3 linked regions of the Cricetulus griseus genome follow. The protein of the gene in region 2 purifies or fractionates together with the protein of the main gene of each other region. This does not show direct contact. Links are inferred from orthologs where the notes say so. Each region holds a gene or a part of one and is shown on either strand. Other genes may lie near its edges.

Evidence for each region.
Region 1: the proteins of Slmap (region 2) and Stk4 purify together in Homo sapiens (co-immunoprecipitation; 3 studies listed by BioGRID and IntAct, with this or other methods). This does not show direct contact. The link is inferred for Cricetulus griseus from reciprocal best matches to the Homo sapiens genes SLMAP and STK4.
Region 3: the proteins of Slmap (region 2) and Strip1 purify together in Homo sapiens (affinity purification with mass spectrometry; 4 studies listed by BioGRID and IntAct, with this or other methods). This does not show direct contact. The link is inferred for Cricetulus griseus from reciprocal best matches to the Homo sapiens genes SLMAP and STRIP1.

What each region holds. Positions count from the first base shown.
Region 1 is NC_048599.1:15,432,608-15,436,124, forward strand, and holds part of Stk4 (serine/threonine-protein kinase 4), read right to left. Parts: intron 2,002-3,517; coding exon 1,873-2,001; intron 1-1,872. UniProt on the Homo sapiens protein: Stress-activated, pro-apoptotic kinase which, following caspase-cleavage, enters the nucleus and induces chromatin condensation followed by internucleosomal DNA fragmentation.
Region 2 is NW_023276807.1:193,255,537-193,259,053, forward strand, and holds part of Slmap (sarcolemmal membrane-associated protein), read left to right. Parts: intron 1-2,553; coding exon 2,554-2,725; intron 2,726-3,517. UniProt on the Homo sapiens protein: Associates with the striatin-interacting phosphatase and kinase (STRIPAK) core complex, forming the extended (SIKE1:SLMAP)STRIPAK complex.
Region 3 is NW_023276806.1:49,542,689-49,546,205, reverse strand, and holds part of Strip1 (striatin-interacting protein 1), read right to left. Parts: intron 3,259-3,517; coding exon 3,132-3,258; intron 2,928-3,131; coding exon 2,827-2,927; intron 2,181-2,826; coding exon 2,114-2,180; intron 1,643-2,113; coding exon 1,538-1,642; intron 621-1,537; coding exon 416-620; intron 1-415. UniProt on the Homo sapiens protein: Plays a role in the regulation of cell morphology and cytoskeletal organization. Required in the cortical actin filament dynamics and cell shape. Part of the striatin-interacting phosphatase and kinase (STRIPAK) complexes.

The sequences.
Region 1 (3,517 bases), on a different chromosome or scaffold from region 2:
ACCAGGTTGCCTAGCAACCAAAGATATTAAAACTACACTGACCTCCTGGACTTTCCATTTCAAATGCCCCTTCATTCTCGGGACATATACCAGTGACAAGGACAGAAGGAAAACACAGCACATAAAATGAACATTAGTGCAAGCAATACAGCTCACAATAATCCCGTGTGCTCTCTTCCCTCGCCTCCTGTAGTCACTTTCTCTATTGTGCAAACACACTGTTGGAATATGTTCTATGCAGTCTTGTACTGTCAGCTAGATTTCCTGAACTATACAAGCCTGGCCCATGAACTCCCAAAAATTGGAGAAAAATCACTGATATTCTCTCCAGCTGCTTTAATAAACCAGGCAAATGTCCCCGAAACCCTCCCCTTACTCAAAAGACAGTGACACAAAAATACATCAAAGAAGCAAACAAACAAAACTCTCAGAACACAAGGACTCTGCCATGTCTTTCTTTTTTTCTTAGAAGGCTTAACCCAGAAGGATCTTCAAAATGTCAATTCTTAGCACATGATACTCTTAGGTTTGGATTCCAGCACCCACATGACAGCTCACAACTGTCTATAACTCCATTTCCAGGGGATCTGACACTATCTTCTGGCCTCCACAGTCTTCAGGCACATGTGGTCCACATATATGCATACATGCAGGCATACACATAAAAAAGTAAAAATAGCCAGATGGTGGCGGTGCACCCCTTTAATCCCAGCACTCAGGAGACAGAGACAAACTCTGTGAGTTTGATACCAGCCTGGTCTACAGAGCAAGTTCCAGGACAAGCTCCAAAGCTATAGCGGAACCCTGTCTTAGAAAACCAAAAAAAAAAAGGTAAAAAATAAATCTTTAAAAAAAAAACAAAAAACACTTCAGTTAGAAGCATTTCCATACTGTTTATATATAGTCCCAATTTGCCAAGTAAAAGAGTTTGAGTAAAGTAAATTGAAGTTTGAGTAAAAACAAAAATCATATAGATAAAAAGAAAAACTGCTAACTTAATTCTGGCCAATCCAACCAGGAAAAACAAAAAGGGAGGTTTTTCTATAGCAGACAATAACCACAAAAAGAAGATACAATGGGAAGAAGATGAGCAGTAGCTGTACTTCAAAGTTGGGGAGATTTGAGGTCCCTGCAAAATAACAAAATCCACTGCCCCCACATAATCTACTGCTGAAGTTGAAAACGGATAATAAACTGATCTCACCAAAATTGCCGCCTCATGTGCTAAACTTCTTCACCCTCACTTCCAACTCCCTAGACCTAGCACTGTCCTCAATTTGACTTGTCGCTCACATCTCAACAGTGCTGGGTAAGCCTGCTCCATTGGTGACAACTCATGTTGTCATGGAACTTCAGAGCAGATCACGTGCTCTTTTGTGGTTGACTTTGAGGCCAACTTCCTGCTTACAGCATTTGACAAATCTTAGTTCCTCAAAACTAAAACACTTAAGAACTCTCAACTGGAATAAAAAGAACAGTTGATACCTAAACAAATATTCCCTTTTTATAGACCAATCTGACAGTCTACAGTTTCTGGGACTGAAAGGCATTTGAATTATCTCAGCAGAAAATTTTCTCAAAAGAAAGTAAGAGAGAGCAAGTAAGTGAGTGAGCGAGCAAGCAAGCAAGAAAGAACGAGCCACTGTCTGTCTCTTCCTCATCTCTAAAAGAGCTAATTGATGAAGGAAAAATGCAAAAATGTTAACTACAAATTAGCTACAAAACATATAAGCTTTCTCCTATTTTTCAGAAAATAAGCAGTGATCCCACTGATCCCGCCCTTCTGCAGTTGTCTCAATCTGCAGGTGTCCAACTCTATGATCACAGCAAACACAGCAGCTCACTCTGTCAAAGGGTCCCTCAGGCCTTTACCTGTCACACTGCTGCATTATGGAGATTTCTTTGATTATCTCCTGCAAATCTGACTCCACCGGCACTTGCTTGATAGCAACAATCTGGCCAGTCTCCTTATGAATCGCCTTGTACACGCTGCCATAAGACCTGCAATTGGGAAAGAAGACCATTTATATAAAGTCAGAGCACCAAGACAGAAGATCAGGTTAGCACAATCAACCTACAGAACTTCTTTCTATCCCAAGTATCTAAAGCTTATAAGCTTAGCTAGCTGTATTTGCAAAACTGAGACAGCTTAAGTACCTGGGGGAAAAAAATGGCATCCTAAAACTTCACATTTGGGAACCAGGGTGTAGCTCAGTGGGAGAGCACTCACCTAGCATGAGCAAGGCCCTAGGCTTAATCCCCAGCACCCAAAAAGTTATCAGATCTATTTGATAATTACAATTTTCAAATGACTGTAACAGCTTGCATGCACCATCCCTGATATCTGCTAGAAAATATTCACCTAGGCCTATTATTCTTTGAAAAAATAAAAATTTTTTAAAGACAAAGAGGTGATTATTTTACAAGTAAAACTTAAGAGTTTAGAAAGGTCACATGATGTATCCAAGGTCACATAAGTGATGAGCTTATGATTTGAGCCCATGTAGACTGAACACAACGCTTTTGTTTTCTCTCCACATCAACACAACACGTGTCTGTTTTCCTACAGCCACTCTATTACCAGTCTTTCTGTCCTTACCCTCTATATGCTGCAATGTTTAAAATATGGAAACTCATTAAGACCTAAGCCTCTTTCATGCTAGTATCACAAGAACAGTGCATATGCAAATCTTTTTGCCATCCCTGAATCTGTTTCATCTTCCCTGAAAAGCTTCTCATCAAAATCAAGGTTCTATGTTCATTCAATCTGGGTGCTACAAGAACATTAGGTTTAGAATTAGGTTAGAGCCGGGCATTGGTGGCACATGCCTTTAATCCCAGCACTCGGGAGGCAGAGACGGGTGGATCTCTGTGAGTTCGAGACCAACCTGGTCTACAAGAGCTAGTTCCAGGACAGCCTCCAAAGCCACAGAGAAACCCTGTCTCGAAAAAAAAAAAAAAAAGAATTAGGTTAGAATTAGGTAAAGATATTAGACTGCATCCCACCACCACTACACAGTGTTACAAAAACAAGAGTTAGCTCTCTTGTGCCTGAATTCTCTTATTCACAAGATGACAGAGGAAAAAAAAAAAAAAAAAAAAAAAAGACTTACAAACTCCCTTATAAGTGGGTTATGGTGCTCTAGTGAGATACCACTAGAATCTTACACACATTTTTTTTTTCATTAATGTCCAGGGTAGGTCTCAGTGAAATATGAGAAAATCCATTTTTAAATTTCCCAAACAAACCAGGGCAGGAGTGGTGCACACCTTTAATCCCAGCACCTGGGAGGCAGAGGCAGGTGGATTTCTGTGAGTTCGAGGCCAGCCTGGTCTACAGAGCGAGTTCCAGGTCAGACAGGGCTACACAGAGAAACCTTGTCTCAAAAAACTGAAAAACCAAAATGAATAAATAAATTTCCCAAACACACCTGATTCTTCATACTATCTTGGTGAAAAGAAAACCAAAGTAAAGGATGTGATCTAAAATGTCAAAATAACAGAGTATTTCTCACTG
Region 2 (3,517 bases):
TCAAGTCATCTGTCTACACTCACATAAAGTACATAAGATATATTAATTCTGTTTCTTGAACATTTCTGTCTGAGTACTGTACATTTATTTGCTAAGCTTCTCATTACACAGGGTCTTAAAAGCCCTTTAGTTACCTATGTTTATTGTCCTGATAGTATCAGATTCATCCTTAATGATCTGTCCATTATATAAGCAGAGTGAAATATATACTCTGTACTGTTTTTAGTAATGAATCTGATTAAGTTTCATTCTAAAAGGCGTAACACTGTCACTTTGAAAATCTTATATTTAAAAAAAAATGCTTTTTATGTCTGGGTGTTTTGTTGCCTGTGTACATGTACACCGTGTGCATTCTTTGACTGCAGAAGCCAGAAGAGGGCAGCATATACCCTGGAACTGGCATTACAAATGGTTGTGAACTGCAGTGTGGATGCAGAGAATCAAACACAAGTCCTCTGGAAGAGCAACTAGTGCCATCTGAGCCATCTCTTCAACCCTAAAAAATATTGTTTTAACTGTTTGTGGGAGCTCATTTTTCTCTAAGCCATATAAGTCTATTTTTTCATTGTTATCAAAGAATTGAACAAGGAATTATTATTATTATTATTCATACTGGAGGTTGAACCCAGGATCTCGGTCATGTTAGCCACATGGTCTACCACTAGAGCTCTACCACATGCTCTACCCATTTTCTGAAAAAGGCATTGATATTCATTCATATCAAGTTACTTTCCTCATGTATAAGTTATTTTTAATAGCAAATTATAAGAATAATCATGTGATTAAAGCTGGAGAATAACTTAAGATGTTATCTTAGTCAGGGTTTCTATTGCTGTGATAAAACACCATGCCCAATGCCGGGCGTTGGTGGTGCACGCCTTTAATCCTAGCACTCAGGATGCAGAGGCAGGTGGATTTCTGTGAGTTCAAGGCCAGCCTGGTCTCCAGAGTGAGTGCCAGGATAGGCTCCAAAGCTACACAGAGAAACCCTGTCTTGAAAAAACCAAAAAACAAAAAAACCCAAAAAAACCCAAAAACACCATGCCCAAAGCAACTTGGAGAGGAAAGGGTTTATTATATCTTGTAACTCTCATGTCACAGACTATCACTGAAGGAAGTTAGGGCAGGAACCTGGAGACAGGAACTGAGACAGGGGCCTTGGAGGATTGATTGATGCATATTGGCTTACTTCTCATGACTTATTCACAACCTAGGACCACTTGCCAAGGGGTGGTACCACTCACAGTAGACTGAGCCCCCTCCTACATCAACAATCAAGAAAACACCCCACAAGCTTGCTCACAAGCTAGACTGGCAGGGGGATTTCTCATCTGAGGCTCCCTCTTCCCAGATGACTCTAGATTGTGTCAGTGACAGAAAACAACTAGCACAGAGGTGAATGTCTGATACAAGAGGTCACTGAGATGCCCCTTGATATTTGCAGCATGGTACTTGTGCACATCTAAGAGTTCAGGAAATGTTTATTCAGAGAGTAAGGTGACCAGTTAAGTGACTAGCTCCATACCTCACAGTTCAGTGTGGTAAGGCCAGGCTCCACCTCCCAGTCTAGTTCCTTGTCATGTGCTTTCTTCCCCATATGATGGCACTTTTCATTTGCACAGGATTTGTCTTTGCTTGAGTTAGCAGTTATGCCTCAGCTTCAGGTTTCTGATCCCTATTCTCTTTTCAAATACTTAATCTTGTAACATAATTGAAATACACATTTTTAATGTATTTATGACAAATTAGTGAAGATAATTTGATATATTAAAATATATAATTAGGACCAGGCATGGATGTGCATATCTTTTTTGGGGGTGGTGGTGGTTTCAAGACAAGGTTTCTCTGTGGTTTTGGAGGCTGTCCTGGAATTAGCTCTTGTAGACCAGGCTGGTCTCAAACTCACAGAGATCTGCCTGCCTCTGCCTCCCAAGTGCTGGGATTAGAGGTGTGCGCCACCACCGCCTGGCCTCCTTTTTTTTTTTTTTTTAAGATTTTTATTTATTTATTATGTATACAACATTCTGCCTCCATGTATGCTTGCAGGCCAGAAGAGGTTACCAGATCTCATTATAGATGGCTGTGAGCCACCATGTGATTGCTGGCAATTGAACTCAGGACTTCTGAAAGAGCAGTCATTGTTCTTAACCTCTGAGCCATCTGTCCAGCCCCAGGGATGCATATCTTTAATCCCAGCATTTAGAAGGCAAAGGCAGGCAGATTTCTTTGAGTTCAAGGCCCACCTGGTCTACCAAGGAAGGTCCAGGCCAGCCAAAGCTACATTATGACCCTGTCTCAAAACAAGAAAACAAAAGTAAAGAAAAACCCAAAAATAAAATTAGTCATTTCCTTCTGTTTATAAAATTTCTACTGGTTTTTCTTTTGAAATGTCTTAATGTTAATGCCTTTTCCTTACTGAACATCTTTTTTTTTTTTTTTTTTTTTTTTACAGCCCCCCCCCCTTTTTTTTCCCCTGCTGTGAAATGCTGAGGATTCTGGGCTTTCTCTGTGTCCAGAGTCTGCTGTGAATAACTGTAGGTGTTTATGTTGCAGTTCTCAGAAGCAGAGTTTGGAGCTTACTAGTGACCTCAGCATCCTCCAGATGACCAGGAAAGAGCTTGAGAACCAAGTGGGATCCTTGAAAGAGCAACACCTTCGAGACTCAGCTGACTTAAAAACTCTTCTCAGTAAGGCTGAAAACCAAGCAAAGGATGTTCAGAAAGAGGTAAAGCGAAAAGACATGCTCAGCCCAATTATGGTTGGACTTAAAGCCAAAGGCAAATCAGATATCCATGCTTCTTAGAAATAAAGAAAAGCAGAAAGCATATTACCTGACAGTTGACACTTGGAACATCCCAGCCTGGTAATTACTAGCTGTGCGTCATGGTCCATTATTGAGAGAATTTATCAAGTGTTTGCTTTTAAACAGACAACAGAGCTAGTTTTTAATTTTTCTCTAACAGTTGACTGACATGAGAGACCCTTTGTAACAGATTGCGTGGTCTGTTTATCAAGGAGTGTGTCATATTAAATGAAGCATTCTTTCAGAAGGCAAACTACAAACTTGGACAACCCTGTAGTACTAGAGCTATATGCTCCTGGGAAAGTGGCTAAAAAGTCACTTACCCTGCTGTGGTGGCTCATGTGTGTCATTCCAGCACCTGGGAGGCTGAGGCAGGAGGATTGGAATGAGTTCAAGGCTTTGATGGGTTACACAATGAACCCTAGCTCAAAACACCAAAGTAAAATGTATATACAGATGGGCAAGGTGATGCACACCTACAGTCCCAGCACTTGGGAGGTGGAGCAGGAGAATCAGGAGTTCAAGGTCAGCCTCAGCTACTTAGTGAGTTTGAGGACAGCTTAAGCTGTATGAGATGTATGTCAGAAAACAAGAAAAAAAGTTAAAAATTCATCTGTATACAGGCAGCCAAATGCCTGTTCTGTGGAACTGTATTCTCCTCCTCTTTTTTTCTTCACAAATATACATAAGTTTTTATGTAATTTTGCTTATAAC
Region 3 (3,517 bases), on a different chromosome or scaffold from region 2:
TCATGGCAATTTCTAGAAAAGACATGATTTAGAGTAGAGAGATGGAGAAACAGATGACCACAGACACTGAGCAGTTTTCCACTTTTGCCTGGTGCTCCCTTCTTGGTGCCACAAAAACTAGAGCCAGGTTCCTTTTTTTTTTGTTTTTGTTTTTTGTTTTTCAAGACAGGGTTTTCCTTTGTACTTTTAGAGCCTGTCCTGGAACTAGCTCTTGTAGACCAGGATGGTGTCAAACTCACAGAGATCGCCTGTCTCTACCTCCAAAATACTGGGATTAAAGGTGTGCACCACCACCGCCCAGCTAGCCAGGCCCCGTCTGTGCCTCAGGGTAGAAACAGCTAAGGTACCAGAGGCAAGGAGTCAAAAGTGTGCCTTGTCCCACCCTCTTCCAATCTTGCTTCCCAAATGGCCTTACCATTGCCGTATGCCCAGTCGTCGTTCAGCCGATGTCGCACCTTCTGGTAGATGGCAGACATTGTCTTCATGTTGCTCTTGCGCCACTGTCGCCCCAAGTATTTGGTCTGCACTTTGAGCAGCTTTAGCACATAGAGCTGCATCATGGCTTGCTTCACCTTCAGGGCCCGCTTCAGGATGGGTGCCGACTTGAACACCACCAGCATCTGTGTGGACACAGTGACAGCCATTGCAAGGAAAGGAGTAAGTGTGTGTGCCACTACATGGTCACTTAACACTTGCCAGGTAGGGAACAGGGCGACAAGCCATGCAGTTTCTCCTAAACTCACTGGTTTTCTGGTACACAGAGAAAACTTTAAGCACTAAAACTAGCACAGCTACGGCAAACCACAAGGGTTGGTCACCCTAATTATGGGTCACTCTGTAATCTCCTTTCTGAGAATTCATGGACCTGCCCTGTCCAAAGGTCAGGATCAGGGATAAGGCGGCTCTCGGACCCCTGACTATCATTTCCCAATCAGGATCAAGAGGCTACGGAAGATGTATCTGTAAGGGTGGATTTGTTTCAGTGCATGACTGAGAGTCTCTACCAGCTTCTGCTTCTACCAAGAACCAGATGTCTGCAGAACTGAGTAAGGACAATGCTGCCTCAAAAGCTCCATCCTCGTCAGGCGTTGGTGGCACATGCCTTTAATCCCAGCACTTGGGAGGCAGAGGCAGGTGGATCTCTGTGAGTTCAAGGCCAGCCTGGTCTCCAGAGCAAGTGCCAGGATAGGCTCCAAAGCTACACAGAGAAACCCTGTCTCAAAAAACAAACAATCAGGGGCTGGAGAGATGGCTCAGAGGTTAAGAGCACCAACTGCTCTTCCAGAGGTCCTGAGTTCAATTCCCAGCAACCACATGGTGGCTCACAACCATCTGTTATGAGATCTGGTGCCCCCTTCTGGTGTACAGATATACATGGAAGTAGAATGTTGTATATATAATAAATAAAATCTTAAAACAAACAAACAAAAAACAAAAGCTCCACCCTGAGGACTCCCTGCCCCAGGTGAGGGGAGGCATAGCACGTGGCACTCCTCTGTGAGTTCCCAGTTCCAGACTTGCTGCAGCAGTGACTCACCATGGTCCTTGAGTGTTTCCATTTTGTTAGTTTGTTCAAGATCCGAAGAAGATTAATGCAAGAAAAGAGGTTCCTCCAGCAAAACTGGTTGTTGTCACCAGCTTCCTGCAGGGAAAAGGAAAAGGAAAAGCAGCCACAGGCTGCTCAGCAGTGTCCAATGGCCTTGACAAATATACCACAGTGGCCATGTGTCAATGCTTCTAGCATCAAGTTCTCTGTCTCACAGCCAAAGGGAAACTCCATCCCACAAGTTGAAAGAGAAGCAGGGACTCAATAGACTTTTCCTGAAGGAAGCATGGGCCATAAAACCAGGAACCATAGCCCCAGACTTCAGTGGGAAGATGCAAGCAGCTTGAGTAGGCAAGTTCTAGGTCAGCAGCCCCTGCAGAACATGCTCCCTGACTAGCCCTAACCTATCCCAGGTGTTCTGCCCTATAAAATCCCTCCCCAACTTTATGGCCATTTCTGGCATTTTAAAAGCCAAAGGTGACCTCATCTGAAAGATTCCTCTATCTTTGCTTTGCAGGAGGCAACCCTCATAACAAAGGAATAGCCAGGGCAATCCCAGCCACTCACCAGACTCTCTGCAGTTAACTCTGGAAGCTCATTTACCACGCAGTGAGGGTAATCCAGGACAGAAATGCTGAAGAATGCAAGAAGACACAGTGTGCACCGTGAGTAAAGGCTGGGTCTGTCAGTAGCCATGATTTAAACTGAAGCAGAAGTAGCAATCTACCTTACTTGCTCTAACCCTGACTATAAGATGAGGAACTATCTGCTACAATACATGTGGAAAGTTTCCCTATGACAGGTTCAGTTTATAATCTAATTAGTAACCTGCAGCTTTCCCCATAACATGAATCTAGGAGGTAGGGCTCAAGACAATTGATGTATGCCAAGCTCTCTTAGAAGCCACAGCTACCCAGACACTTCCCTTGTGATGTCTCACACTGATAAGCAGGTGCTATCAGGTCCAGCGGGCACAAGGTGGGTGTTAAGGAAGGCCAAGCTCCTTACAGAGAACTGTGAGGGGAAAGGGAAGAAGGATAGAAGTAGTAGTGAAGGCAATTCTGGAGCTTAGGATGAGAGCCTCCTGGTCAAAAACAAAGTCACTAGACTAGCTAACCTCAAAACAGACACACTGTCATTCATTTTGTCTCCTGATGCCTGGCAAAGTGTTGACTCATAGATGCTCAGAAAAATGTCTGCTGAGGAGTCTCAATGGAGAGGCCAGATAGAAATCCTGCCATTTGCCTATTCTACCCTTTCTTGGCCCTGGTCCTTATCACCTGTTCTTGGCAGTGATGTAGGACATGATATTTTGATTGAAGAACTTCAGGATCAAAGGAATGCAGTTGGCAAAGACCAGGTGCTGAGCCATGTATTCAAACTGAAACCAACAGAAGAAAAATAAGCATGCCTCTTATTCTCTTTTCTCTAGAGACAAAAAGCCTTGGCTGGATAATCTCATATTAGAATGCTCATGCAGAGAGCTTAAGTGGGCTCAAAGCCAAGCCCTATTCTCGGGTTAGGGAGCAGTATGGACTGAGGCACAGGCGCAGTGCACACGAAGGCAGACAGACCCTACAGGTACCTGGTAGATGTGGTTCAACTTAAAGTGCTTGAGCAGCAGCAGCAGCACAGCAGAAATGGCCTTAACGATGACCTCCTTGTGGCGGTTCACATCCACCCCCAGCTTCATGCTCTGCAACACTGTGGTGCTAGAAACACAAGTGCCTGATGAGTCGCCAGCACACACACAGCACCTTCTGCCTAGGCATCCATAGTGGGGATGGATTCCAGAACCCTCTGGTAAAGGACCAAATCCCACAAACACTTCAGAGGTCAGCCTTAGGAATCCCATCTACCCATCTCCCAAATGATCCAGCCAGACACAACTTCCATCTTCCCCATGATGCTGCCCATCTAGTTCCTGATTTACTTAGAAGTTCACTCAGTGACAGTCTGTGCTGAGATTCA